Linked DNA regions of Callithrix jacchus. The protein of the gene in region 4 binds, or shares a complex with, the protein of the main gene of each other region. Links are inferred from orthologs where the notes say so. Each region holds a gene or a part of one and is shown on either strand. Other genes may lie near its edges.

Region 1 (3,500 bases), on a different chromosome or scaffold from region 4:
CACTACAGCCTGGGCTACAGAGCGAGACTCTATTTAAAGAAAGAAAAGTGCGGGGCGTTCTGGAACACTAGCGGTCCAGGTGCAGGGCGGACATGTAGGCCTTGAGGCAGGGGCGGGAGGGCACACCGCGCCGGGAAGGGACTGACACTGGACCCGGGGGACAGGGCTCTGCACAGCGGGGTGGCAGGTCAGCTTGCACTTCAGAAAGTGGGGAAGCTGGATTGGAGCTAGGACGACGCCAGGGAGCAGGAGGCTGAAGATGTGTGCAAGGGCAGTGGCCGGCCCATGTGGCTGTACTGCCCTCAGCACTGCCTCCGTCCCTTCCCTCTGTTGTGTCTAGTGCTGAGCCCGCGGTTGCGGCGGCCGGGACGCCTTGGTAACAGCAGGGAAAGCCGGGCTGAGGCTGGAGGGCGGGGTTACAGCGTGGAGGGCGGGGTCACAGTGTGGAGGGGGGCTGCGGCTGGGGCGGGGCTGAGGCTGGAGGGCGGAGCTAAAGCGTGGAGGGCGGGGCTGAGGCTGCGGCGGGGCGGAGGCTGGAGGGCGGGGCGGAGGCAGGAGCGGGACTGCGGCGGCACGGCGGGATCACAGGGGAGGGCGTGGTCACGGTGGAGGGCGGGGCTGCGGCTGGAGGGCGGGCCGGGGACCTTACCACGCCGTCCTCCTCGCGCACCACGTACTGCGCCACCTTGAAGGAGCTCAGGTACTCGTTCATGTTCTGTAGTTCCGTGTCGTCTGTGGCGTCCTGGTTCCGGTCCAGCAGCTTGGAGATGGCCGCATCGTCATAGTGGATCACACTGCTGTCCTCCACATCCTTGTTGTCACCTGGGGAGAAGGCAAGTGCAGTGTGGGGACAAAGACTGCCCTGGTCCATCCTGGGGACCTGGGAACAGGCTCCCAACAATGGCCCTTCCCATCCCAGGGGCTGCAGCTGAGGGGCCTGTTGACCCGAAAGAGGAAATCACGCTGTAACAGCCCCATTCCCCGCCCACCCAGCAGTCCCAAGACACCCAAGTGAGGGTGTGTCGGGGAACCCCTCTCCAGGAGCAGCCTCCTGGTTGGAGGAGGAGCTGGGGTTGGGCTGGGTTGGCCCCTACCTGGTGGGGTGCTACCATGCTTCTTCTTTGCACTGGCAGCCAAGTTTCCCCCTTTGGAAGACTGGACATCAGGGATGGGTGTGACCGGCCTCTGGCCCTGAGACATCATGCCTATTGGGCAGAGGAGGAGGGCGCTGGTGCAGGAGCACAGAGGGCTGCAGGATTGGCGGGCAGTGCCCAGAGACACCACCCTGGGCTGCCCTGGCCAGGAGACACCAGTGGGGGTGCAAGAGAGAGGAAGAGTGTTGGAATGGGCAGGGACCCCATCAAGCCCTGGATGGGTGCCTCAGCAGCATGACCCCAGGCCCCACCACACTCCCTCGGGACAGAGGCCCACCCTCCACGTCATCCTTGAAGAGCTCCTCCGTGCCGAACTTGAGGATGTCGTCCAGCTCCTGCTTAGTCATGGAGCCCGACTTGGAGCCGAGGCCAGGCCGCACCACCAGGTGGGTGAGCATCATCTTGCGCTTGGCTACCTGCGTGATGCGCTCCTCCACTGAGGCCCGAGTCACGAAGCGGTAGATCATCACCTTCTTGTTCTGCCCAATTCGGTGGGCACGGCTGAAGGCCTGGGGAGACCTGCAGCTCAGCACCCATGGCTCACCCAGGCTCCAGGCAATGGAGGGGGTCACACCCATGAGCTCAAGAGCATGGAATGGGCTGCATGACTGGGTAGGGAGAGGCATGTGGTGCAGGCTTGCACCACTGCAGCTGGGCTCCCTCCCAGACTGCGAAGCCTCCCACGAGCCAGGGTGCTGGGCTGGGTTGGGAGTGGAAAAGCTCCCAGTGGAAGCAGCCAGGACTGCAGGTGTGCAACAGTGTGTGAGGGATGACACAGCCAGTGTGCTAGGTGTAACTGACATCACACAGAGCTTCATGGGGGCCCTGGGGAGGTAGGGGGCTGCATTTCCCTGTGATCGAGCCACTAATGGAACCACAAGACCATGTGCTGGAGATGTGCAGCCACCTTCCGAGGGCAGCAAGGAGCTGCATCTGCCCAGTATAATACAGGGAAGTGCCAGACTCTGCAGCCCTGCATGAGGTGATCTGGATGTGACCATGCATATGTGTGTGTGTCCACGGGCGCACAAACATGAATGAGAGACATCACTTTTTATGTGTTCCCCTACATGTGTAAGAGTTTGATGTGTGTGTCCCAGCCCCCGAGTGGGGTGGCCAGGGCTGTCAGGGTAGCTCTATTCCCATAGCCCCGCCCCCCACATCCCTCCCATCCTTCCTTGTCAACCCCATCTGCCCCTTGCACCATCTCATCCTCCCCCCACCTCTGACAGGCCCACTCTATGCTCCCCATCCCCTCCAAAATATATGCCCCTCTGGGTCCCAGGACTCCCTCATCCTGCCTCCCTCCATGGCCTTGGTCCTGAGGGTGATGGGAAAGACCAGAATCAGTGGCCACCATGAACTGCGGTGTGCCCTTGGACACTTCCCCTGCCCTCTCCAAGACTGTTTTCTCCTCTGGACGAGGACAGAGCTGGAGGGATGGGGCCCAAGCTTCCATTCATTCCCAGGGCCCCTCATGGGGCCAAGACTCCATGAGGGAGGGAGGCCCACAGCACCAGGGGAGGTGTGGAGGTCATGTCCAGGAAGGCATGAAGGACAGGAGAACCTGCCCGAAGCCCAGGGTAAGAGGGCCCTGGGAGGGTGGCAGCAGTGACACAGACCTGAATGTCATTGTGTGGGTTCCAGTCCGAGTCGTAGATGATGACAGTGTCCGCCGTGGCCAGGTTGATACCCAGGCCACCTGCCCGGGTTGAGAGGAGGAAGCAGAACTGCTGGGCCCCGGGGGCTGAAAAAGAGGCCAGCAGATGGGATGTTTGAGGGAGTTCACCTTTGGGGGTGAGAACAGAGGGAAGGAACTACAGCAACAGGTCGCTGGCAGAGAATTACAAAGCCAGAGACCTCATCAGAGATGAGAGGCCACAGCTGCACTCAGGGGAACCAGAGGAAGCCCGCTCAAGGCCGCTTAGTCCCCAGCGGTGCTCTGAGCCCTGGCCCAATGGGAGAGTGCTAGAATGAAGAGGAGGTCAATTTTCAAATCCCAGATGAGCAAAAAACAAAGTGGTTGTTTGGCCGGGCACAGTGCCTCATTCCTGTAATCCCAGCATTTTGGGAGGCTGAGGCAGGCGGATGACCTGAGGTTGGGAGTTCGAGGCCAGCTTAACCAACATGGAGAAACCCTGTCTCTACTAAAAATGTAAAATTAGCTGGGCATAGCCGAGATCACTCCATTCACAAGAGTGAAACTCTGTCTCAAAAAAAAAAATAAATAAAAGAAGTGCAAGCAGCCAGCAAGTACAGGCAGAGCCTCCAGAGAGCTCAGTCCTCCATGTCCCCCCAGCTCCCCACCCCCAGCTTCCCTTAGCCCATCGATGCCATCAGGGTGGC
Region 2 (4,119 bases), on a different chromosome or scaffold from region 4:
GCTGGAAGTAGAGACAAAGATAACCCATGGAGGCAAAGCGGACATCCTTCCATGCACATACAGCCCCCAAACTTCTCAGGCAAATAATATGCTGAAACGGCAAACAGCAAAATGACTGAGATAAAGATTTGGGAAAGGGACAGGAATGGGGTGTGGCAAGTGGAAAAAGTGGGTCACACTACAGCCCAGGACAGAGTTCACAGCTCCTGCATAGCTCCCAGTCAACATGAAGGGCAGCCCCAGACCAATGGGCCAATAGGAGGCCAAGATGTGGAACCCACAATGTCTAGGCAGCACTACAGTTTCTCATGCCCCTCTTAGAAGGACAGGGTCCCCTTACCACCACCACCACCCTGCTCTCACCTTGGGCAAGAGCACAGAAATCTGCCTCTCTACCCTACACAAGGATGAAACCAAGTTTCTCATCCCAACAGTTGAAGACTCCATGACAAGACTAACCCCTCTCCTAAATGGCCTCAGGTTGAAGTAAAGACTTCCAACTTAAAAAGTGCAAAATTTGAGAGCATCTCTCCCAGACCACCGCAACTTCCACTGGAGCTAAGAAGAGAGCAGAGTGAAGAACGCTGGATGAGAAACAAAAACAGAATCAGCAGGCTCCAGAATGAGAAGAAAAGTAGAAGCAGAAGTGATGAAGCAGTGGCATGTAGGAAAAAAAATGAACCTAGAAAAAATGAAGGTCAAGGAAACAAGTAGGTGACTTAGCTAGGGGCTCTGAAGAAAGACAGAAAAGAAAGAGATCTGCTTAGGAACGCGAGATCAATCATCATTTGAGAATAGACAAGGGCTCCCCCAATCAGCCAGGGTGGTTATAACCATACGGGTTTGGCCAGTTCACGGAGCCACCCCAAAACACAGATAGTGCAACCTCTAGCACACCTACACAAGGCACTTCACACTGCCAGCCTAAACCCCGGGCTACCTCACAGAGGCAGAAGCTGCTAGGAAACAAGCCAGAATTATGTCCACTAGCCAGGTGAAGAGGGGTGCCCTCCCTTCTTTTGCCTCTCCTCACTAGGCTATTACATCCTCTCCAAGCCCCCATCACTTCCCCACTCAAAACATTCCAGCAATCTGCCTGGCTAAAAGCGCTCTAGATCATGCTGAGGAGCGCGATTCAAACTTCACACAGTTGAGACAGCACAGAAAACCGGTAACTGATCAGAAGCTAAAAATAATCAGATAGAGCGTAACCAGCACTCCCTCTTTCCTTTCCACAGAGGCAACCACAAGATTCTACTAGCACAGATGCCCGGCTGGTCTTCTCAGAATCCTCAACGTCCCCCTCCACCACCACCACTACCACAAGCCTCCAGGGGTCCCAACTACCTGCATTCCTCCGAGGACCCACACACAAGGTAATGCGTGCCAGCCCAGAGAGCTCCCTCAACTGGGAACTGCAGAGCATTCCTCAAGACAGAGTGCAGCAAGCTGGCATCTCCGTCCGCGGTGCCCAGGAGGCACATGGCTTCCACCCCCCTCACACCAGAGCTCCGCAGAAGGGAACCACTCCCTTCGGATGCCCTCCACCTTCGGCTCTGCACAGAGACAGCCGAGCAACACAGCCCTGCCTCCCCAGAGAAGTCACTCGGGAGAGTCCAAATGCCTCCTTCCCACCCAGGGCCCTTGGGGAAGATGTTACCTGGGTGGGGTGGGGGCAGGCTGTTGTTCAAAAGTGCATCCATATCCTCCTCCTCACTGCCCGCCGAGCAGGGGGACGGGGAGCCCAGGCCCGACGCCATCCCCTTCCGCTCCCGGCCAGGGAATTGGCCCAGCTGCTCCTGCCGGCGGCCTGGGGCCCTCTACACTGGCCCGAGTCACTGTGCGGGGGAGGGGGGAGAAAGAGAGAACAGTCAGTGACGCGCACTGTCCCCTTCCCCCACACCCACCCGCTCTTTCCGCCCCCCACCTCAGCCACCCTAGCAGGGCACCCGAACCGCTCAGGCTGAACTTAGTTCCACACTCCTCGGGGGCAGCCCGGAAGCCGGCTCCCCGGCAGGCGCCCCCACGGAGCGAGGGAGCGACGCCTCCGAGGGCAGGCTGGTGCAGGCGCGGGGAGGGAAGACGCTGGACCGAGCGGGGTGTGACGGGGGAGGGGGTCCGAGTGGTAGCGGCGCGGGGGGGGGGCGGGCCAGGGGAGGCGGCAGGCAACAAGGCGCTCGGGGACACAAGGTCACTTGGGGGTGGGGGGGCGCCTCCCTGCGCCCGGGGAGGGGCCAGTCCCCAGACAGGGCAGCTCTCCAAAGGCTGTCCTCTGGGACAACTCAGGTTCTCCTCAAGAGGTGCGGGGACGAGGGGGCGTGGAGGCTCTGGCACTGCGGGGGGCCGGAGGCAGGGACGCGGGGGACGAGAGCGTCCCACCGGGAAGGGGGCCGGGCCACGTGTGTCCCGGGGGGCAAGTGATCAAAGGGCGAGGGGGCGGGCGCCGGGCATTGTGGGAGACCAAGCCAGAGGCGGAGGGTCGCGGGGAGCAAGACTCTGGCAGGGTTAGGGCGGGGGCTGGGAGGAGGCCGGGCGCCCTGCAGGGCCAGGAAAGGAAGGGTAGGCTTCTCCGGGCAAGGGGCGGTCCGCGGGTCGGGGGACGCTTGACGAAGGGGCGGGTGACGGGATGACCCTCCGGGCTGGTCCGGCCGTGAGGGGCGTCTTTTTGGGAACCCCGCGCTCTCCTCACCCCGGAGCCGCCGCAGGTTGCGCTGGGTCCGGCCTGGTGTCACTCCCGCTCCGACTCCTCCTCGCCGCGGCCGAAGGGGGGAAAATGGCTCCGGCTCCGGCGTCGCCTCTTAAAGGGCCTGAAACACCGGCCGGGAAATCCCACCGCACAGGCCCCGCCCCCCCACGGACAGCCCATAATAACCTCAACCAACTCCAACCCCCCCCCACTACCGCCACCCTCCTCCCCAGGTCTCCCGGGCAACCCCCGCCCCCTCGTCGCTCAGGCAACCATTGGCCACGCCCCTTCGAGCGCGCGCGCGCGTGTCACCTGGGCAACCGCCCACCTCTTGGCCATCCCATAATACACACGGACACTCCCCCCACATACACAAAACACACACCCCGCCCCCCCCACATTTCATACACATATATGCCAGGGGCTACTGACATCTGATGATATTGCAGACCTTTTGCAACTAACCCTCTTAGATATCCCATAATAGCCATCCTTTGCCAACTTCTTCACTCTTGGCCCTAATGCTAACATCCCATAATAATTCATCACCCCTCCCTCCCCATGGCCATCCCATAATAAGCAGCCCTCCCGGCACTTATGCCTTATATCCCATAATACTCATCCCCATCCCCCACAGACATCCCATAATAACCACCCTCCATCCACCCCCAGTTTGATATCCCATAATAGTCAGAAACTCACCCCCCCCCATACTACAACAACGGACACTCGGCCTCCTCCCACACACATCCAGTAATAATCAGTCTCCCACTTTCTATACTGACATCCCATAATAACTAACCCCCTGGGGCTGCCCTCAGTCCCTGCAGGCTAGGGTCTAGAGGCTCACAACACCCCCAGCCTTCCCTCTCCTGGTTCCACAGTCTATGATAAGTACCCCTCTATCAAAAAGATAACCCATAATGATCAACTGCCCTACTGTCGCCCTACAGATGGACAGACATCTAATCTCTTTTCCTCTAACACTGGAAAGCTATCCCATAATAATTTTACTCTCCTACCCACATCCTGACATCCCATAATAATTGCAAGGCGCCCGTGGTCAACCAAACATACCATAATACTCCCAACACAACCCAGTGTCACATCCCATAATGCTTCATCTCCACTCCACCATCCCTATACCCTTGAAGCCAGGCATCCCATAATATTCATATTCTTCCCACCCCCATCTCCAGGCGCTGTCAGTCTATTCTAACACCTCGAGCAGGGAGGGCCAGGCAGGCTACCCACGCTTCCCTGTCCCCGCCCCCACTTGCACACACACCTTAATCCTTTTCTGGGCCAAAGCAGTATCCTGGCAAAAAGCCTCCTGATGTCTGGAGCCCAGCTTCCCTCATACCATCATTTCCAGACACTCAGGGGCCAGGAGCCCACCTAAGGCCTCACCCAATCCCACCAAAATCCAGGTA
Region 3 (3,500 bases), on a different chromosome or scaffold from region 4:
TACACCTGCTATGTTCTGAATGTACAATTCACTTAATTGGTGTGCAGCAACTTGGATAAATCAGACCTCTTTACATCACTTCAGTGCACTTGCCTATTATAAAGATGAATAGGTGGCAAGTAAAAGAAAACACAGGCAAAGCTCATTTTACTGTTTAAGCCTACATTCAGGGCCCTAACGGACAACAGCATTTAATTCAGCTCTATTCTCAAGGTCTCCCAAAGCATAATGAAGGAAAACTCAAGCCTCATAAACAATAGTTTTTCTTTCCTGGGAAAAATATCATTATACTGTCCCAATAATTGGGCTGCCACAATTAAAATGCTGGCTTTGTGGAGGTAATAAGGTCTACTGTTGCTTTAGAACTGTACTTACACTAGAAAGTAGTGCCATCTTTCATCATCCACGTCAATAAAGCTAGCAGTTTCAATAAACCACATCAAAAAGGTCTGAAGCCTTTCATGATATTCTCGAAAGCCTCTACATGTCATGTCAGCCTAGGGAAAAAGCCAGGAAAAGTCAGGTGAAACTCATCACAAAGGTAAGTGAAAGTCTGCTGAACACTAAATTATCCTGTGGGAAAATGTTTAGAAGTCTCAGATTAAGATGTGGACACAGACACACACACAAAATAGATCTGTGTTTATAATGCTGATAAAACTTGTTTACTGCAGTTAGAATAAATCATTGAAAATAACAAAACTACATACCGGTTTCAGACAAATAGAATAACTTTACTCAAGAAATATTTAGATTTATCTTTACCTTATATATCTGAAAGGTAAAGTTTTCTCCTCCTGTTGGACTGAGAACTGAGTAGGTATGAAGTAAGGTTCCAAATGGCTTGAAATCAACTTCCTTTTCCAGTAAAGAAAGAAAATCATTCGTGTTTGTACAAAATCCAGGTGGAATGATTTGTCTAATTTTGCCCTCAACATCATCTGCCTAAAGAACGGAGGATAAAGGATATAAAAAATTAATAACAAATTCTACTTTTGAATATGGTTAATTTCTTTAAAATTGACAAAACCAACACAAATTAGAAAACTCTGGTTGAAAACTAAAGAAGCAAACACACACCGAACTAGAAAAGGATGAGCTTCCTGTGCACAAACTAGCATCACACAAAACTGAGATGAGCATAACGTAAAACTAAGAGAAGGCAGGTGGGCAGGTAGCCTGATACCAAGTACAATAACAAAGGCGATGCTATTGACGTTTCCGTTATGTAGAAAATGCTGACTATATCCCTTTATGACAATCTGAACTGGCCAAGGAAAAAGGTTGCTTATTATCTTATGTGTCAAAGAAATCATATTATCCAAGAAATGAAAAGATCACCAGCAGTAGAGGCTAGAGTCTGACCAAATAGCAATCTCACAATGAACAAGTAGATGGGTCACAATTCCCTCATATGCCAAACTCAAACTAAGATGATAATTTAAAAATATACCTACTTAGAAAATAACATATATTATATGAATGGATATTATTCTTTCATCCTTAGAATGTGATACAATTCTTATAGACCTGGATTTGTGACAGTAAAAAAGAGTCAAGACTGGACAACAAAACTAAACTCAGAGATTAAAATTACCCTTGTTAAACAACCTCGATCAACATTATCAGCTGAGCAGACTTCATAATCCTTTTCAAAATCCCAAAAGACCACTTGATTGAATACATTTACTACTTCTCTTTAACCATGAATATTTGATGAAGTCTTACAATAAAGTATTGCTGCTTCTCACCAGGCAATAAAACTTAATGAATTGGTCTCAACTTAACAAAACCGTATCCTTCAATACAGTCCCTAAAAGCCCGACATTACATTCAACAAAATGAGCCTGTATTCTATTCAAACTTTTTTCTGAACAATGAGGCCAGGTTTTTACTTAATGGAGTTTGCCGTGAGTTCAGCTGTAATGTTTGTATTGTATCTATTTCCACAAGGACTGACACAAGAACACTTTGTGTTAACTTACTAAGCAGCTCTTTCATACCGTTTACATGCATGATGGGTATTAGTTCTAAACCAAGACCCTTGCTACTTAGCATTCAAAACAGGGAAATTAAGATGCTTAGGACAAAATACACTACAAAAGGCTAATACAACATGCTACTAATTCCTGTCCTTTCAACCATCTTTTAACTAAGTAGAAGCAATGCACCTGCAGATGAATAGCACTTTATTATGATTCAGTTACATTTTAGGATAGAGAACCAGGAATGAAGTTTATCACAAACAAGTTTTATTTTCAATGCTCTGGTACCACCAACATTTATATATAATTTGTTTATAGCTATAAAAAAGAGCTATTATTTAAAATATACCTCTTCAGCAATTTGCTCAACAGTTTATTTCTAATATGTACATCAGTCCTTGCAACTCATTCACACTCTAGATCAAATAAACTGCATTTCATAGAACTGTTTTTGCTTATTTTTAAAGTACTATTTGATAAATATTTTCCCTTGAAATTGCTAGCTAATGTGACGAGGTCATCTTAAGCATATTTTACAGAATCAGTACAATTTCAACAACTACTAAGGAAACTGTCATAACAAGGGACGGTTGTAATAGGTGTGTTGTGTAGCAATTAAAATCCAAAGCAGTGATGAGTAAAGCAGTATAGTATAATGTTAGTTCAGGTTTTTAAAAAGTCAAGAAAAACTACTTTTAAATAAAGAAATTTATAATCCATCAGTTTAAAAATCATTTTAAGATTTTCATAGCATGCATAATTTTAACTTAAAAACTTCCCTTATGTCCTGTCTTTCAACAAGGTATTGCAAATCACTTTACACATCTTGTATCAAATCTACTTCAAAGATTTCTCAGAAACTCTAAGTTTCAAATAGCACTTTTGGCAGAGGGCAGAGCAACCCAAAGGTCTGAGCCTGACAAAGTTGAAAAAAAGTTAAAGTTTAGTTTTCAGCCTTCAACGGACACCTATTTACTGTAATACATATCTTCAAATAAAATATTTTGCTTTGTATAAGTTTACACATTCAGAATGTTTTTCAGGGAAAAGGGGCAATTTTAAAGCAAGGAATCTTTATATATTTATATACATATATTTATAAGTATTTATGTACATATATAAATTTGTATCTGATATTCTTACATAAAATATACAACTTAAAACCAAATAGCTCTTCAACCTAGAATTTAGAACTTTGCTTCACTAAAGGGAAAATGTCTTTATTTCTCTATTAAATGGATTCTGCTTTAAGACAAAAAAATCCTGTAATCCCAGCACTTTGGGAGGCTGAGGCGGGTGGATCACGAGGTCAAGAGATCGAGACCATCCAGGTCAACATGATGAAACCCCGTCTCTACTAAATATACAAAAAATTAGCTGGGCATAATACGTGCCTGTAATCCCAGCTACTCAGGAGGCTGAGGCAGGAGAATTGCCTGAACCCAGGAGGCGGAGGTTGCGGCGAGCTGAGATCGCACCATTGTACTCCAGCCTGGGTAACAAGCGAAAACTCCA
Region 4 (3,500 bases):
ATATATGCTCATCATCATTAGTCATTAGGGAAATGCAAATTAAAACCACAATGAGCCATGTGTGCTGACTCATGCCTGTCAATCTCAGCACTTTGGGAGGCCAAGGCAGGAGGATCTTTTGAGCCCAGCAGTTCAAGACCAACATGGCCAACATAGTGAAACCCTGTCTCTATTAAAAATACAAAAATTAGCTGGGCCTGGTGGCACATGCCTGTAATCCCAGCTACTTGGGAGGCTTAGGAAGGAGAATCACTTGAACCCAGAAGGTGGAGGCTGCAGTAAGCTGAGATTGTGCCACTGCGCTCCTGGGCAACACAGCCAGACTGTCTCAAAACAAAACAAAACCCCTCCCCCACCCCCCCCCAAAAAACAACAACAAAGAAACCCAGCAGATACCACTTTACACACACTAGGATAGCTATAATAAAAAAAAAAGACAAGCACTAGTGAGGATGTAGAGAAACCGGAACATTTGTACATTGCTTGTGGAAATGTAATATGGAAAGCCACTTTGGAAAACAGTTTGATAGTTGTTCAAAAAGTTAAACAGAGATACCATATGGCCCAGTAATTCCACTCCTAGGTATGTATCCAAGAGAAATGAAAACATACATCCACACGAAAACTTGTACACAAATGTTCATAACATAATTCAAAATAGCCCAAAAGTAGAAAGAACTCAAATGGTTCGACTGATAAATGAATAAGTAAACTGTGGTATATCCATACAATGGAATATTGTTAAGCCATAAAAAGGAATGGAACATAAGAAATGTTACTTGAAAACATTATGCTGGCTGGGCGCAGTGGCCCACGCCTGTATTCCCAGCACTTTGGGAGGCCAAGGCGGGTGGATGACGAGGTCAAAAGATCGAAACCATCCTGGTCAACATGGTGAAACCCCGTCTCTACTAAAAATACAAAAATTAGCTGGGCACGGTGGCATGTGCCTGTAATCCCAGCTACTCAGGAGGCTGAGGCAGGAGAATTGCCTGAACCCAGGAGGCGGAGGTTGTGGTGAGCCGAGATCGTGCCATTGCACTCCAGCCTGGGTAACAAGAGCGAAACTCTGTCTCAAAAAAAAAAAAAAACAACAACAAAAAAACATTATGCTAAGTGAAAGAAGCCAAACAGAAAGGCTGCATATGTGATTCCATTTACATGAAATATCAAGAATAGATAACTCTATGGAGATGGAAAATAAAGTAGTGCTTAGGAGCTAGGGGATAGCAGGGAATGAGTGGGGAGTCACTGCTTAATGGGTATAGAATTTCTTTTCGAGAGTGAATGAAAATATTCTAGAATTAGTGGCAATAGTTGTGCACCTTTGTGAATATGCTAAAAGCCACTGAATTGTACAATTAAAAATACTTTATATCAATCAGGCCCCACAAACACTCTACAGTTTCCATTATAAGGGCCTGGAGGGTCCTCTTTTAAATAATGGAAGGCCTTTTGCCTATGCTCCCTCCGTTCTAAGGCTAATTCAAAAGAGCTCTGTGGAATCTGAAGACTCATATAGGGCAGTATGAAAACCATCTCTCTAAGTCCCAGGGAAATGTTATCACAATAATCAGCAGTATTATCTTAGAAAGCCTTTCATCTATATAGTATTCCTTCAGTACAGCTGTGATACTTTAGCTCCCACTATATGAACAGATTACAAAGAATACGTTTCTCACATGGTCATCAGATGCACTTAGGAGATGTCCACTCAGATTCGAATTCCAGGAGAGACCATAGCCTTCCTTCTGGTGACCTCTTAACCTGAGATCAGGATTACATTCTCCACTTGGGTCTAAGAAAAGAAAAATATTAAGTTATTCTCTGTTTATCAGAAATTGTGAGAATAAATTCTCACTCCTTCATTGAGTGAGCCATTACAGCAACTGCACATGAACAAGATCTGGTCTGACCCATAACCACTTTAAAAAGCTGTTCTCTTGGCTTTGTTTTTAATATCCAACACAAATTGAGCCTCAGAACCATTAAATGATTGGTTTCTTTGGAAAACCTACTACCCTCAACACAAAAACACTGAAAACTATAGCTATCCCACAAATCTGGGAAGTGGTAACCCATCCCCCACCTCCCAATTTTTAGAAGTATTTCTAATACAGCAGGTCTGGTTGCTCACTCCTTGCATGCCTCTAGGGTATCCTGATTCATAAGTGACCCTTGGACAACCTCTGGGAATGTGACCCTCAGAAAGTCCTTCGCGTCACTGACTGATAAAGTTGTGTAAGCCCAGAGCAGTGGGGTATGTCACAGGGACTTGTTAAGACTTGTAGAATTGTTTAGCAAGATTCACAATGCATTTGGCTTCACTGTTGGAGGCCTCACTTTTGTTATCATGGCTAGTCAAAGAACAGGATGCGCCCACGCAAACAGACCTCCACAAAAACCCCCGATTCTGAAACTTAAATGGGCTGCCCTCGATAGAAACATTTAGCAAATGTCCCTGTGGTTTGCTGCTAGAGACAAAGCATGTCCTATGTGGCCCTAGATGGGAAGGACCCACACACCTGTAGCTAACCTCTTTGGACTCCCCCTGATGTGTATCTTTTTCCTCCTACTTTTGCTCTGAATCCTTTGCTGTAATAAATTTTAGCTCTGAGTATAAACTGCTTTTAGGCAGTTCTGGCAAATTCCTTAACTTGAGGATGATTATGGGACCCTCCAAAGCAACTTTTAAATCTTTAAACATTATAAAGTATGCTACTTTGACCTTAAAAACATTACCAGTTTGAATCAAGAAAACTGCTCAAGCAATGGCCTGACTTTACCACATACCTGGTTTAGCAGGGTGCTTTGTATAGTCAAAAACCAACACATCAGAAGATGGTGTTTTTGTCGCAATGATGTGAGGATTCTGCGGCATGTAACGAGCACGGTTTACTTCTCCTTCATGATTGATTTTAATTTCACATTCAATTTTTCCTGTTACAGAACCAAAGCCACCAAATTCTAATGTGAGGAGAAAGAAATAAACACACACACACACAATCAGGATTAAAATTCACAAATCACTTATTTTAATCAACCTAACAGATTTTGACCTGGCAGAATACAACACAAATTGACAAGGCAAAGACAGAGACATACATAGAGAGAGAAAAATCAAAAAAATGTGAGCTCATTTGCCACATCAATTTATTCCCATTTTCATTGAAAAATATTGGTAGCTGCCTTATGCAACTTAATTCGGTTCCACCTTGGATCTAAAACAACTGTCCTCTTTCAGTTATGAAGATGATATATTCACTGAGATTTCAAAGAACCATATAATAAGCAGACCAACAGTTTTTTAGTTCAAATATAACTCATTTGGAAGCGCTGCACTGAATTAGCATCTTATTTTAGGATTCAACAAAACAGGAAAGGTTTTACCCTTAGGAGTATGAACATTCTATGAGTCTAAAGTCAGGAGCATCCGTAAATTAATAAAAAAACCCATGCTAACCCCTACCCATCCCTAAACACACATATGTTGGCCCTGC
Region 5 (4,003 bases), on a different chromosome or scaffold from region 4:
GGCTCCAGCGATCCCCCCCATCTCAGCCTCTCATGTAGCTGGGACCACAGGTGCACACCACCATGCCCGGCTAATTTTTCAATTTTTTTCTAGAGACGAGGTCCTGATATGTTGCCCAGGGTTGTCTCGAACTGCTGACCGCAAGCTATCCTCCGGCCTCCGTCTCTCAAAGGGCTGGGATTGCAGGTATGAGTTTCCGAGCCAGGCCAACTATTTTTCTTTAAATTACTTTTTGGTTGTCACTTATCTCAAATATTCATATAAGTTTATAAAACCTCTTATCTGAAGAGCTGCCCTCAACCACTCACGGTTGAGTCCCTGTGATAAGGTTTGAGGGTGCCTGAAATGTCATCATGATTCGTCCCCTGGGCTAAGCTGAAACTTAGTGACTTGTCAGATAAATAAATCAAGGTTATTTCCCGATAATACAAACATAACACCGTGAAGTAGGTTTTTAGGCAGGATTTCGTTTTACACTGCAGAGGAGAGGGAAGTTCCTGCTGAGGTGGTAGCGGTCCTAGCTGGGGCACTGGGAGGGTGGCGGGAGACTGGAACGTGCAGTAGTTGCGTTCTGGAGTTTCCTGAGGCTTTCCGAGTGGGGGTTCCACGGAATAGGCCTTAAAGTGCCCCTCCCTCCGGGCGTGGCTCCTGGCACAGCGTGGAGCAGTTGTCATTCGAGTCAATTTCAGGACTCCAGCTCCCAGGTAAGGAGTTTCCTAAATTCTAGGAATTTCCCTTCGTCGGTGGCGCTGCCCAGTGTCCTCGGTCGTTCGGCCGCCCCGCTCCTATACCTTTTTTTCTTTTTCTCTGGCTCTTTCAGCATCAGTTTCCCTAGGGGGCCGGGAGGGGAATGATATTTGGGGGCTCTCCTGCCTTTCTCTCCGAGCCGCGGAAGGGGAGACGCGGGGAGGAGGTCCGGCAGGCTTTGGCCTCCAGCCAGGGGTCCGCGGAGACTATGGTCTCCGAAGGCCTTTGACACAGGGGCATTTCGCGAGCTGCGCACCCGTCTCTGCCGCGCCACCCGCGCCCGAAGTCCAGCTGCGCCTAGCTGCGCCGAACCCAGAAGCCCCGTGCTCCCCGCCCCCGACTCGGCGCTCCCGCGCTCCCCCTAGCGGCCGCTGCGCCGCCTCGCTCCGTCCAGGCTCGTCGGCGGCGCAGCTCACGTGACCGCGCTCCGGGCCTGCGGCCGCTGTCGGTTCCCCCAGTCACCGAGCGAGAGGGAAGAAACAAGATGGCGGCTGAAGGCGATCCGGAGTGGGGCCCCAGCAATTCGGATTGAGCCTTCTCCCTCCACCCGCTTCCGCCGGCTGGGCCCCTCCCGCCCGGCCCCGCGGGCTTCCCCACCCGGCCCCGGCGCTCCCCACCGCCCCCCCTGCGCCCGCCCCTCCCCCTCCGCTTTCCCTTCTCCCCCCCGCCTCGGCTCCGACATGAGGGGCCGGCGGGGCAGGCCGCCCAAGCAGCCCGCGGCTCCCGCTGCGGAGCGCTGCGCCCCGGCCCCGCCGCCGCCGCCGCCGCCGCCGCCGCCGCCCACGTCCGGACCCATCGGGGGGCTCCGCTCGCGGCACCGCGGCAGTAGTCGGGGCAGGTGGGCCGCCGCCCAGGCTGAGGTGGCGCCCAAGACGCGGCTGAGCTCGCCCAGGGGGGGCAGCAGTAGCCGGAGGAAGCCGCAGCCGCCGCCGGCCCCCCCCAGCACCAGCGCCCCGGGCCGGGGGGGGCGAGGAGGCGGGGGAGGCAGGACGGGGGGCGGGGGCGGCGGCGGCCACCTGGCCCGGACCACCGCGGCCCGGAGGGCCGTCAACAAAGTGGTGTACGATGACCACGAGAGCGAGGAGGAGGAGGAAGAGGAGGACATGGTCTCCGAGGAGGAGGAGGAGGAGGAGGAGGACGGCGACGCCGAGGAGACCCAAGATTCTGAGGACGACGAGGAGGATGAGATGGAGGAGGACGACGATGACTCCGATTATCCGGAGGAGATGGAAGACGACGACGACGACGCCAGTTACTGCACGGAAAGCAGCTTCAGGAGCCATAGTACCTACAGCAGCACTCCAGGTACCCACCCAGCCCAGTTGCTGCAGACTCCTTCCCCACCTCCTCTGCCCTCCCCCCTTCCTCACTCGTGTGCTGTGCATCCTGCTCCGATCTCCCCCCAACCCCGCCTTCCCCCCAAACAGAGGGGAAATGCGACGGCACATCAAGTGGCAAAAAACTAGATTTACAAGAGGAAAGAGGCGCATTGTTCAAAATGGAGATTGCATTGTTGCAGTTTGCAGGCCACACTCGCTTGCTCTCTCTCCCCCCAACCCCCTCTTTTTCCTCTTCAAAATTTGTGCCAGTGCGATGTCTCCACCGGGCAGGATTGAAACTTTGGCAGACACGTATCCATTGCATTCATTTTTCTTCCCTTGTTTTGGTGTGGTTTTCTGGAATGAAAGAAGCCTCTTGTTTTGCAAACCTCTTTGCATTTCTAATATGGTTTCTTTCAGATTTTTATTATATATCTGTTACTTAAAAGGGAATTAAGGATTTGGGCAGATTGTGGCACACAAACACACACAAAAACATGCCTGTTTTCACACCCCTAGCTGTGGTTTTAAAATTGTGTTAAGGAAATGGATCATTTGGGTTAGTAGGGGAACTTTATCTGGTCCTGCGTGTTTGTTTTTATTCTTCGAGTGCCAATGGGCTCATGCAACAGTTGCTGGTAAATGGCTGATGAAAAAGCAAAATAGAAAGCCAAACAAGACCCAACCAAATTTGGTAATTCATCCGATTCAAAATTGTTTTGGTTAAGTCAAAAATAAAAGTACAAAACCGCAGGAACGCTTGTCTTAACTCATTTGATCGCTTTGCCTGGCTTGGGAAATGCAGTTTCGTGTCACCTGTTGCACAAGATGTGTAGTTGATCCTCTAGACATAATTGCCGAAGATGAACTTTTTTCTAAGTCATGTAGCATCAGTATCAGATTTATTACACGACGACTTTTTCTTTTCACTCTATTTCTGAGGAAAAAGCCCTCACAGAAATCCGTAATGAATTTCTCCATGGTAACCCCTCTTCTGTTTTCTCACAAAAAGTTTCTCCAGGCTGGTGCTGAGATGCATTTTGTTAAAAACCCCTCACCCTCTTCCAAAAGACTGCTTTGTATTAAATAGGTAGTTGAAATTTACTAAATTGTGAAATTAACATAACCAAAGCAACAACTGGCAAGACTTTTCCTTTATAATTTTGCAAATCTAGATTAATTAAATTAGAATCTGGTTTTAAAAGCATTTGAAAAATAAAGTTTATGAGGAAATATTTGTGAGGAAAAAGGACCTTTTTTCCTTGAATTAAGGTGTGTCATGTCTTTCTCAGAGAGACTCGGATAGTAGAAGTGGTTAAATTGAGAAGTTTCTGTTTTTTATAAATGCTTACTTATTGGAGAAGTAGAGTAGTATTATATTAAGCCAAATGTAAACCCACATGAGTTGTCCTAACAAAGTGAAAAAAGGTAATTTATTTTGCCTGATGGTCAGAATGGTTGCCTGGCTTGTGAGGGTTGGGGGGGACTATGTGGAGAATGAAGGGAATGAATCAAGTGTCAGGTATTTATGTCTTAGATGTAGAAAGGACTACAGGTAAATTCTTGCCAACTTAATTTTAGCTCATCTTTTTGTTTTTGAGACGGAGTCTTGCTCTGTCGCCCAGGCTGGAGTGCAATGGCACGATCATGGCTCCCTGCAACCTCCACCTCCTGGGCTCAAGCGATTCTCCTGTCAGCCTCTTGAGCAGCCGGGATTACGGGTACCTGCCAGCATGCCTGGCTAATTTTTGTATTTTTAGTAGAGATGGGGTTTCACCGTGTTGGCCAGCCTGATGTCAAACTCCTGACCTCGTGATCTGCCCACCTTGGCCTCCCAAAGTGCTAGGATTACAGGTGTGAACCACCGTGCCTGGCCTAGTACACCTTTTATGGTAATAATTTTTACCTTGAGAAATCACTTGTTGGTCTTCATTATA
Region 6 (4,215 bases), on a different chromosome or scaffold from region 4:
TCCTACTTTTATACCAAGTAGTGGAACAGTGGCAAGATATGGAATGGTACAGCCATCTTAGAAATTTACCAGCTATAACTGTTGAGGTATCATTGAATTTGCTAATCCATATTTAAATCATTTTAAAAGAATGATGGGGAGCATCCCAATAAACAATCCAATTACATGGTCACTACATCCTTCCGTTTTAGCCCCAAAACCTACCTCAATTTACTCCAATAAAGAACTCATGAATTATAACAAAATGACTTTTCAATTAAAAGATCTACTACCCTCTCACCCTTTCCCTTCCTTTTATTTTTGTAAAGGGATCATCAATATCAACATTTAATCAAATTAAGTAGATACTAAGTATCCAGATGATTCATAAAGTTCTTTCCAGTTGCCTGAGTGTAATAGTTGCACCTAAAAGATACCTAGTTTTCAGAAGTAAATAACTAGGAAAAACTTGGAACTTGTTCACCTTGACAACTAGTTTTCTCTGTAATCATTCCCTCTTAAAGTGGGAGAAAAACACCTTTCAAAGCTGCTCACATGAATATAAATACATCCTGTTCACTTTGCAAATTCCTTTGTCAAATTATTTCCCTACATTTTTCATATTTCCTTAATTCATTTAACCATATTTAAAACCTCTATTCTCTAGCGACTACCAATGTAGGTGCTAGGTATACTTAAAAAAAAAAAAAAAAAAAAAGAAAGAGCCTCAGGGAGGCACTTTGACTGTAGGGAAGAGAGGGATGCATAAACAAGTGATTACAATATAATTGAGTCATGCTACAATAAAATATGATCCAAGCCCTGTGGGAACACAAGAGTGGGAATTCAGGGAAGACCTCCAGAGGGTAAAGTATCATCTGACCATGAACCTTTCTCTGAATTTAATGAATTTCTGCTCTTCACTTATGCTCTACCTAAAAGGTTTCACCTACCCATATAGAATCTATCAGGATTACAGAAAATTTGTCATTTATACTGACATAAAGACTTCAAGGCTAATCCATAAATAATTTCTAATTAATTGCAGAATATATTATATTGGAGGATTTCTTCTTGCTGGTTTCTAAAGAGATCAATTTTCTCAATCATTGTTCATGTAAATGGTAATACTGAAATAAATTCACACTCCTTAAGCATGCTACCTCAAATGAAGAAAGATATCCTGGGAAAATTCCAGTATGACTTGAAGAAATTTGCCTAAAAATTTTAAATGCTAACATAAAGATATTCACTTATATGTATATGTGCAAGGTAAAGCTAGGTAACAAAGTATCAGAACTTTTTCTAACTACACTAGACTAACAGTGTGTTTTTTTTTTTTAAATCACTGCTACTTAAACTGACTAAATACATTCTCAAGTTGTACCAGAAAATAATTTAAAATGAATTTTTAAATCAATTACCCAAAGAGATGTTTTTCAAAATATCTCAAGGCAAGTACAAAGAATAGTAATTATCAAATACAGAATATGCAAGGGCAAAAGTTAGAAATTTTTATCCTAGACCACACGTGGTAGCTCCCATCTGGAATCCCAGCACTCTGGGAGTCTGAGGCAGGCACATCACTTGAGGTCAGGAGTTTGAGACCAGCCTGGCCAACATGGCGAAACTCCCTCTCTGCTAAAAATATAAAAATCAGCTGGGCATGGTGGCACATGCCTGTAGTCCCAGCTACTCCAGAGGCTGGCAGGCAAACATCTTAAACCCAGAAGGCAGAGACTGCAGTGAACACAGATCGGGTCACTGCACTCCAGCCTGGACAACAGAGCAAGGCTCTGTCTCAAAAAAGAAAAAAAAAATTATCCTAAAATATCTGAATCTCTGCCAAAAATCTTCATAACTAGCTCATCTCATAAGGGACAGGAGTGTTAGGATTTTTTAAACACAGAATTATTAGTAGCTAACATAAACATTACTTTTTGGTTATGTCTCAACACTTAGACGAGCACCTAGAATGCCTGTATAGGGGTGTCAACACTCTCCAAAATATATGTAATAAATTTCTACTGCATTTGCCTCCATTTTTGTGAAACCATAAGTAAGTAGATGTACATTAGATCTTTATCAGATAGGACGGTGGAACCAAAAGAACGCCTATGTTTTTCTAACTTCTTTTCTTGGAATATATTCACCTTCCACAAAAATGAGAATTTAAGATGCTATTTCCCTGTTTCCGGGAAACCTCAAATATTACATAATCCAGCACACCTCCAAAAAGAGAAAACAAGATGCTTTATATCTATGACTAGAATCCTAACTATTCCTAACTTTAGAGACCATAAATAGGAAACTAAAATACATCTTAAATACTTTTGTTTTATTGCAAATAAAATTACAAATCAACAAGTTAGGATTACACACTTGATCCATATTCCTAAATATGAATTAGTTGCTAATGCTTATGAAGAGTTAATAGAAAATAAACTCCAAAACCTCTAGAATTATAGGCTACATTCAACTACGACAACATTCGTGTTTTTCAAAGGTTTATCAAATGTTATTTTATGTGACATCAAAAGGCCACAAAATAATGACTTGCTTGAAACATAAAAAACAAGCCTTTAAGTAAATAGCAAAGACACATTTTTATTTCCAAATGAATTTAAATTTTACAGAACCTGAGTGATAAACAAAGGAAGTTGAACTGCGGACAGCACACGTTAAATTTCTTAGGCAACAAACATTTCTGCATCCAGTCTTTTCTGAATCACCAAAGCTATTGTTCACAGAAAACAAGAACAATTAATAAGAAACTGCTAACCATATAATCCAAATGCACATTTGTCATAGGTATTCTATCACCTACTTCCACCTCCTCATACTCATTCAACCCATTGGGATTTGGGGAATAATCGTTGGCTGAATGGCAGTTGATTTCGTTAGCACCTGTCGCCATTCTCAGATGTATCACACAAGTTGGCCAAAACAGCTTGTAATTTTTTTTAAGGATTACGATTCTTTAGAAAGTGGGAACTCATTAAGCGTTCACCGAGTTTTCCAAAAGATCATGCTTCTCGATTCCTCCCGCTTTCAAAAAGTAACCCTGTGGTACAGATTTCTGGGGGCAGTGGAAGGCGATGTACACAATGAAGTGGCAATTCAACAGGAAACATTCCAAAAACACAATCAAGAGACAGCAGAGCAGCTCGACTCTTCCCTCAAACTTAGCATAAAGCCAGACCAGGCGGCGAGGGCAGCCCGCGACCGCCGGAGCTAAGGGGGTTTCGGGCTGCGTTCTGGGGAAAAAACCGAGGCGAAGCTACTCCGAGTTCCCCACCGCGAAAGCCGTCCCGCAGCCGCCGCAGCCCCAGCCGGGGGTCGGCGCGCCCGGGGCCGGGGGCGTGCGCCAGGCGGGGGCCGAGCCCTGCCCACCCTGGCCGCGGCCCGCGCCTCCCCACGCCCCTCTCCCGCCCGCCGGCGGGCCGGGGTGTCATGCCCCTTCCCTCGCGCCGAGCCCTCTGGAGACACAGTCCGTCCTTTGTCTGAGTGCCGGCTCGGCTGCTGGGTCCCACTAACTTGTGTCTGTCCCGTCCCACCCGGGCGCTCCCGCCGCGGCCGCGCCACACAAAGGAGACTTAAAGCTCGAGCTGCCACCCTGGACTGGGTACCGGAACGCCCCGACCCCAGCCCTGGCGCCCCGGTCAGGGCAAGCACCGGGAAAGGAGCCCCCCGCACGCCCCCCCACCCCCGCAGCTCTGGGGGTCCGCGCTGCCCCCCACTCGCGGGGTCCCGCGGGCCAGCCCGAAGCTCACAGCTCCTTCCGGGGGGGTTTCCCCTCACCCTCCAAGCCCCGCACGCCTACAAACGCGGCGCCCCTGTGAGCCCCGCTCTGGCGATACCCCGGACCGGCACAGCGGCGGCTGGGAAGTCTTGGCGCCGCCGCCGCCGCCCGGTTAGCACTCCCGGAGCCCTGCCGGCCGGGCCGCCCGCTGGGGCGCGTTACCTTCTTCCCGCGCGCCGGCTCGCGTCGTTCCCGCGCGTCGCTCTCGCGCGCCGCCGCCGCTGCCGCCGCCGTCGCCGCCGGGGCTCCACTGCCTTCTGTGTCCCACAGGGTGTCCGACGCGACCGGACCGAGCGCCAAACGCGACAGCCCAATCGCCATCGCTTTTATTTGGCCCCCCCAGCCCAATCAAGCGCCGCCCCGATTGGCGGGACGCGAGGCGGGCACCCGTCCAATCACAGGGCCCGCCGAGCTCGAAGGCGCCGAGCCAGCCC
Region 7 (3,597 bases), on a different chromosome or scaffold from region 4:
ATGTTGGCCAGGATGGTCTCAATGTCTTGACCTCGTGATCCACCCTCCTCGGCCCACAATTCTGGGATTACAGGCGTGAGCCACCTCTCCGGGCCGAACTCCTGACCTCAATCAGCCCACCTCCACCTCCCGAAGTGCTGGGATTACAGGCGTGAGCCAACACGGGCCAGAACATGTTTGTTGGATGGATGAATGAATGAACGACTGTCCTGGAGATGAAGATCTACAAAGCTGGGACCATGAAGGTACGTAAGGCCAGAGAAGTTTGAGCTTGGGGAAGGAGCCTGGGAGAAAGGGTTAGTGAGTGGATGAGGGTTTGAAGTCTTAAGTTTGTGGGGAGTGAGATTTGAGGGGAGGCGTCTGAGTGGTGGAATGGAAAGGTATGGGGGCCCTGGAGTGGGACAGGAAGGCGGGGAATGAAACAACAAGCACTTTATGACATTCACTTAATCCACACAACAACCCAATGAGATCGTCATTTTCCCCATTTTACGGATGGGAAAACTGAGGCATACTGAGGCGAGACACTTGCCTGGGGGAAATCGCCAGTGGGGGTGGTGCTGAGATTCAAACCCAGGCGGTTGGCTCCAGACCGTGCTCTTGATCAGTTTGGTACCGGCCCGCCACACAGTAATCTCGCAGGTTTGCCCTACGGCCATTGACACCAGCTGAGGCGGCGGCGCGGGGCCTTGGGGGTGCGGGCAAAGGGGTCTTTGAGGTCGCCCTTGGACCTGACGACCAGCCAAGCCACAGGAAGAGCTGCGCGTGGCGGCACTGAAGTAGGGCCTGTTGCCATGGGAACAAACGCAGGCCTCGGGCGGACGCATGCGCAGATCGGGGAGAGGGTGTTGAACCGGTGAAAGGTGACGTAAAAGCGCACGGGGTGGGGCGCGGGGCTCGGGACGTCAAAGCTCTGCGTCCTTCGGCCCCAGGAGCGGATAGGGACGCACAGCGGCGGCGACAGAAGCGACGGCAGCGGCGACAGCAACCCCTGCTGGGCCGAAACTGGGCAGAGCAGAGCCGACGTCTGAAGCAGCGCGAGTGAAGCGCGAGGGTAGCGCCCGCGTCCGGGAAGACCCCTCGGCGCGAACCGGCGGCCCAGCCCGGGGTCCGGGGCCTCGAGGCCCCGCCTCTAAGGCCTGGGGACTAATCGGATTGAGAGCGCGCCGGCCCGGGCGGCGAACTCGCCAATTGCAGAGGGCGGCAGCCACCGCCCAATCCGGAGCAGACAGGTGCGAGGTCCGGAAGGCGGAGACCAATCGGTGGCGGTTGCGACCTGCTGGGGCAGGTCTCGTCCAATAAGGAGGCTCGAGTGACATCTTCAGGCGCCAATCGGGAGTGAGGGAGCATTCGAGCCCGCTCGCCCTTCCGGCCAGACCTCTATTTACCAGAGGCGTGCAGCCCGCTTGCCAATCAGAGCGCGGCTGAGCGGCCCGGCGGCCAACCCCCGAGGAGCGGCTGGCTGGCGTCCGCCGCGCCCAGGAGTTGGGGATGTCCTACAAACCCATCGCCCCCGCCCCCAGCAGCACCCCTGGCTCCAGCACCCCTGGGCCGGGCACCCCGGTCCCTACAGGTGAGGATCCAGCTCCACCCCTGCTCGCCTGCCGGGCGGTCGAGGTCTCGAAGAGAAGACGGCCTGAGTTCTGCAATACTGGGCCTGCCGCCTACCCCTCGCTGAGCCTCAGTTTGCTGGCCTGTGAAATGGGCGTGGTCATGTAAGGGCTTGTAGGTGGAGCTCAGGGGGAGGGATTTGTCCCTGAAGTTAATCAGCATGGAATGAAGCATCCTTTGGAGGGAATCGGGCGAACGCGGTCCTGGGCTTGGAAAAGCAGGGAGGCGCGTCCCTGCCCAGCGCTGACCTCTTACTCGCGCCTGTTGCTGCAGGAAGCGTGCCGTCGCCGTCGGGCTCAGTGCCAGGAGCCGCCGCCCCTTTCAGACCGCTGTTTAACGACTTTGGACCGCCTTCCATGGGCTATGTGCAGGTGAGTGGGGCCAAAGCCTTGCTTATGGATGGGGACTGGAGTTTCCTTCCCTGCCAGGTGCCTGAGCTCACTGCCCTGTTCTCTTTTGACATAGGCGATGAAGCCACCCGGCGCCCAGGGCTCCCAGAGCACCTACACGGACCTGCTGTCCGTCATAGAGGAGATGGGCAAAGAGATCCGGCCCACCTATGCTGGCAGCAAGAGTGCCATGGAGCGCCTGAAGAGAGGTAAGTGAGGCCAGGCCGCCCTGCCCTGCCCTGCTCCCCTGCTCAGGAAGCCGACACTGCACTATCCTTCATTAGGGAAGTAAGGACATCTGGAGGCCACCCGAGCGACGCCTAGACTAGGGCCAGTATTACTATGCAGAGAGGTATTTTGAATTGAAATTGAGTCCGTTTCCAGGGAAGAGCCTGGGAATTTGTATTTCAACAGGGCCACCTTGAGGATTAGCCAAACCTCTAATCTCATCTCGCCATTATTAGATTTGAATTTCTCTTGCCGAAAGGAAAGGGAGTGGGGAGGCAGTGGTGGTCCTCTGGAGGGCGGAGGTGGGGCTATGGAGGGTTGCTGAGACCCCACCCTACCCCCAGGTATCATCCATGCCCGGGCCCTAGTCAGAGAGTGCCTGGCAGAGACAGAGCGGAACGCCCGCACGTAACAGGAAGCCTCTCGGCCTCAGCGTCTGGACCTTTCCCGGCCACTGCAGAGCACCCGCTTCTCCCTGGCCATCATCCCGAGTTGCACTAACCATCCTGGGCTTCCTGTCCTGTGTCCTTTGGTGGGTGCCCTCCAGGAACCAAAGGGTGGCTCTCACTCCAGGTGGCAGCACTAAGAACGACCCCCCCCACAACAAGAGTTTAGCAGCGAGGTCCCTGTGAGTCGCGCCCATGACCTGCCGACAGTGTTGCCCACCGGAACTTTCTGTGGCCCCCACTGCTCAGCCCCTCCCAGCACTTCTCCCACTTCGTCCCGAGCCTCCCTCTCTCCCAGCAGGGGCTCAGGCCTGGCACCTGCTTGCCTTGTGTCCTGGGCCATAGTGACTCTTTTCTCTGTGTGTCTTTTGCTAAATATGCCCTTTTTATATTAATAAAAGATGATTTGGAGTTGTGCTGTCAGCTCTGAGCCTTTCTGGGTCTGGTTCTTCAGTTAAGCCTGGGTGGGCCAGGCAGAGAAGGAAGAGGAGACTAGGGGTGGGGAGGGTGTGACTGAATGGGGTTTGACTTGCCTCTGTGGGCCACAGGCCTCCTGTGGGACCCAGGCCCTCTCCTGCCCCAGCCCTGGTGCTGAGAGCCCTGGGCCTTCCTGTGGTGCCACCAGGGGGCAGAGCAGGGCCTGGCTGCTTCCACAGCCCTTTGCGCTGTGGGCAGCCTGGGCCTGGAGGGCACTTCCTCTGGATTGGCAGTGATGCCTGGCAGCGTGGAAATGCCAGTTCACGTAAGCCACTCCCTTACACTCCCTAATGCCCTGACAACACCCCAGCCTCTGAATCAGCCCTGAAGGTCTCTGACACCGCAGAGAGAATGCACACTGCTGCTTCCAGCACTGGCCTCAGAGTCAAGCAGAGAGGCTGGCGGGTGCTGCCGTCACCGCCGCAGCACCTGTAGCAGGCTGGGCG

The links.
Region 1: RBBP7 (region 4) and CHD5 share a complex: the UniProt entries of both Homo sapiens proteins name them as parts of the nucleosome remodeling and deacetylase (NuRD) repressor complex. The link is inferred for Callithrix jacchus from reciprocal best matches to the Homo sapiens genes RBBP7 and CHD5.
Region 2: RBBP7 (region 4) and CHD4 share a complex: the UniProt entries of both Homo sapiens proteins name them as parts of the nucleosome remodeling and deacetylase (NuRD) repressor complex. The link is inferred for Callithrix jacchus from reciprocal best matches to the Homo sapiens genes RBBP7 and CHD4.
Region 3: RBBP7 (region 4) and HAT1 share a complex: the UniProt entries of both Homo sapiens proteins name them as parts of the type B histone acetyltransferase (HAT) complex. The link is inferred for Callithrix jacchus from reciprocal best matches to the Homo sapiens genes RBBP7 and HAT1.
Region 5: RBBP7 (region 4) and BPTF share a complex: the UniProt entries of both Homo sapiens proteins name them as parts of the BPFT-SMARCA1 complex. The link is inferred for Callithrix jacchus from reciprocal best matches to the Homo sapiens genes RBBP7 and BPTF.
Region 6: RBBP7 (region 4) and EZH2 share a complex: the UniProt entries of both Homo sapiens proteins name them as parts of the PRC2/EED-EZH2 complex. The link is inferred for Callithrix jacchus from reciprocal best matches to the Homo sapiens genes RBBP7 and EZH2.
Region 7: RBBP7 (region 4) and CDK2AP2 share a complex: the UniProt entries of both Homo sapiens proteins name them as parts of the nucleosome remodeling and deacetylase (NuRD) repressor complex. The link is inferred for Callithrix jacchus from reciprocal best matches to the Homo sapiens genes RBBP7 and CDK2AP2.

Annotation. Positions count from the first base shown.
Region 1 is NC_133508.1:44,024,462-44,027,961, forward strand, and holds part of CHD5 (chromodomain-helicase-DNA-binding protein 5), read right to left. Parts: intron 2,902-3,500; coding exon 2,777-2,901; intron 1,664-2,776; coding exon 1,432-1,663; intron 1,206-1,431; coding exon 1,095-1,205; intron 823-1,094; coding exon 650-822; intron 1-649. UniProt on the Homo sapiens protein: ATP-dependent chromatin-remodeling factor that binds DNA through histones and regulates gene transcription. May specifically recognize and bind trimethylated 'Lys-27' (H3K27me3) and non-methylated 'Lys-4' of histone H3.
Region 2 is NC_133510.1:20,794,844-20,798,962, forward strand, and holds the start of CHD4 (chromodomain-helicase-DNA-binding protein 4), read right to left. Parts: upstream 2,801-4,119; 5' UTR 2,690-2,800; exon of another isoform or gene 1,928-2,689; intron 1,839-1,927; 5' UTR 1,761-1,838; coding exon 1,661-1,760; intron 1-1,660. UniProt on the Homo sapiens protein: ATP-dependent chromatin-remodeling factor that binds and distorts nucleosomal DNA. Acts as a component of the histone deacetylase NuRD complex which participates in the remodeling of chromatin.
Region 3 is NC_133507.1:57,562,135-57,565,634, forward strand, and holds part of HAT1 (histone acetyltransferase type B catalytic subunit), read right to left. Parts: intron 946-3,500; coding exon 766-945; intron 498-765; coding exon 376-497; intron 1-375. UniProt on the Homo sapiens protein: Histone acetyltransferase that plays a role in different biological processes including cell cycle progression, glucose metabolism, histone production or DNA damage repair. Coordinates histone production and acetylation via H4 promoter binding.
Region 4 is NC_133524.1:17,115,702-17,119,201, forward strand, and holds part of RBBP7 (histone-binding protein RBBP7), read right to left. Parts: intron 2,968-3,500; coding exon 2,794-2,967; intron 1,799-2,793; coding exon 1,683-1,798; intron 1-1,682. UniProt on the Homo sapiens protein: Core histone-binding subunit that may target chromatin remodeling factors, histone acetyltransferases and histone deacetylases to their histone substrates in a manner that is regulated by nucleosomal DNA.
Region 5 is NC_133506.1:90,441,276-90,445,278, reverse strand, and holds the start of BPTF (nucleosome-remodeling factor subunit BPTF), read left to right. Parts: upstream 1-1,203; 5' UTR 1,204-1,427; coding exon 1,428-2,052; intron 2,053-4,003. UniProt on the Homo sapiens protein: Regulatory subunit of the ATP-dependent NURF-1 and NURF-5 ISWI chromatin remodeling complexes, which form ordered nucleosome arrays on chromatin and facilitate access to DNA during DNA-templated processes such as DNA replication, transcription, and repair.
Region 6 is NC_133512.1:98,835,246-98,839,460, reverse strand, and holds the start of EZH2 (histone-lysine N-methyltransferase EZH2), read right to left. Parts: upstream 2,801-4,215; 5' UTR 2,693-2,800; coding exon 2,619-2,692; intron 1-2,618. UniProt on the Homo sapiens protein: Polycomb group (PcG) protein. Catalytic subunit of the PRC2/EED-EZH2 complex, which methylates 'Lys-9' (H3K9me) and 'Lys-27' (H3K27me) of histone H3, leading to transcriptional repression of the affected target gene.
Region 7 is NC_133511.1:124,584,843-124,588,439, reverse strand, and holds CDK2AP2 (cyclin-dependent kinase 2-associated protein 2), read left to right. Parts: upstream 1-1,411; 5' UTR 1,412-1,491; coding exon 1,492-1,573; exon of another isoform or gene 1,574-1,715; intron 1,716-1,884; coding exon 1,885-1,982; intron 1,983-2,076; coding exon 2,077-2,209; intron 2,210-2,572; coding exon 2,573-2,640; 3' UTR 2,641-3,097; downstream 3,098-3,597. UniProt on the Homo sapiens protein: Acts as a component of the histone deacetylase NuRD complex which participates in the remodeling of chromatin.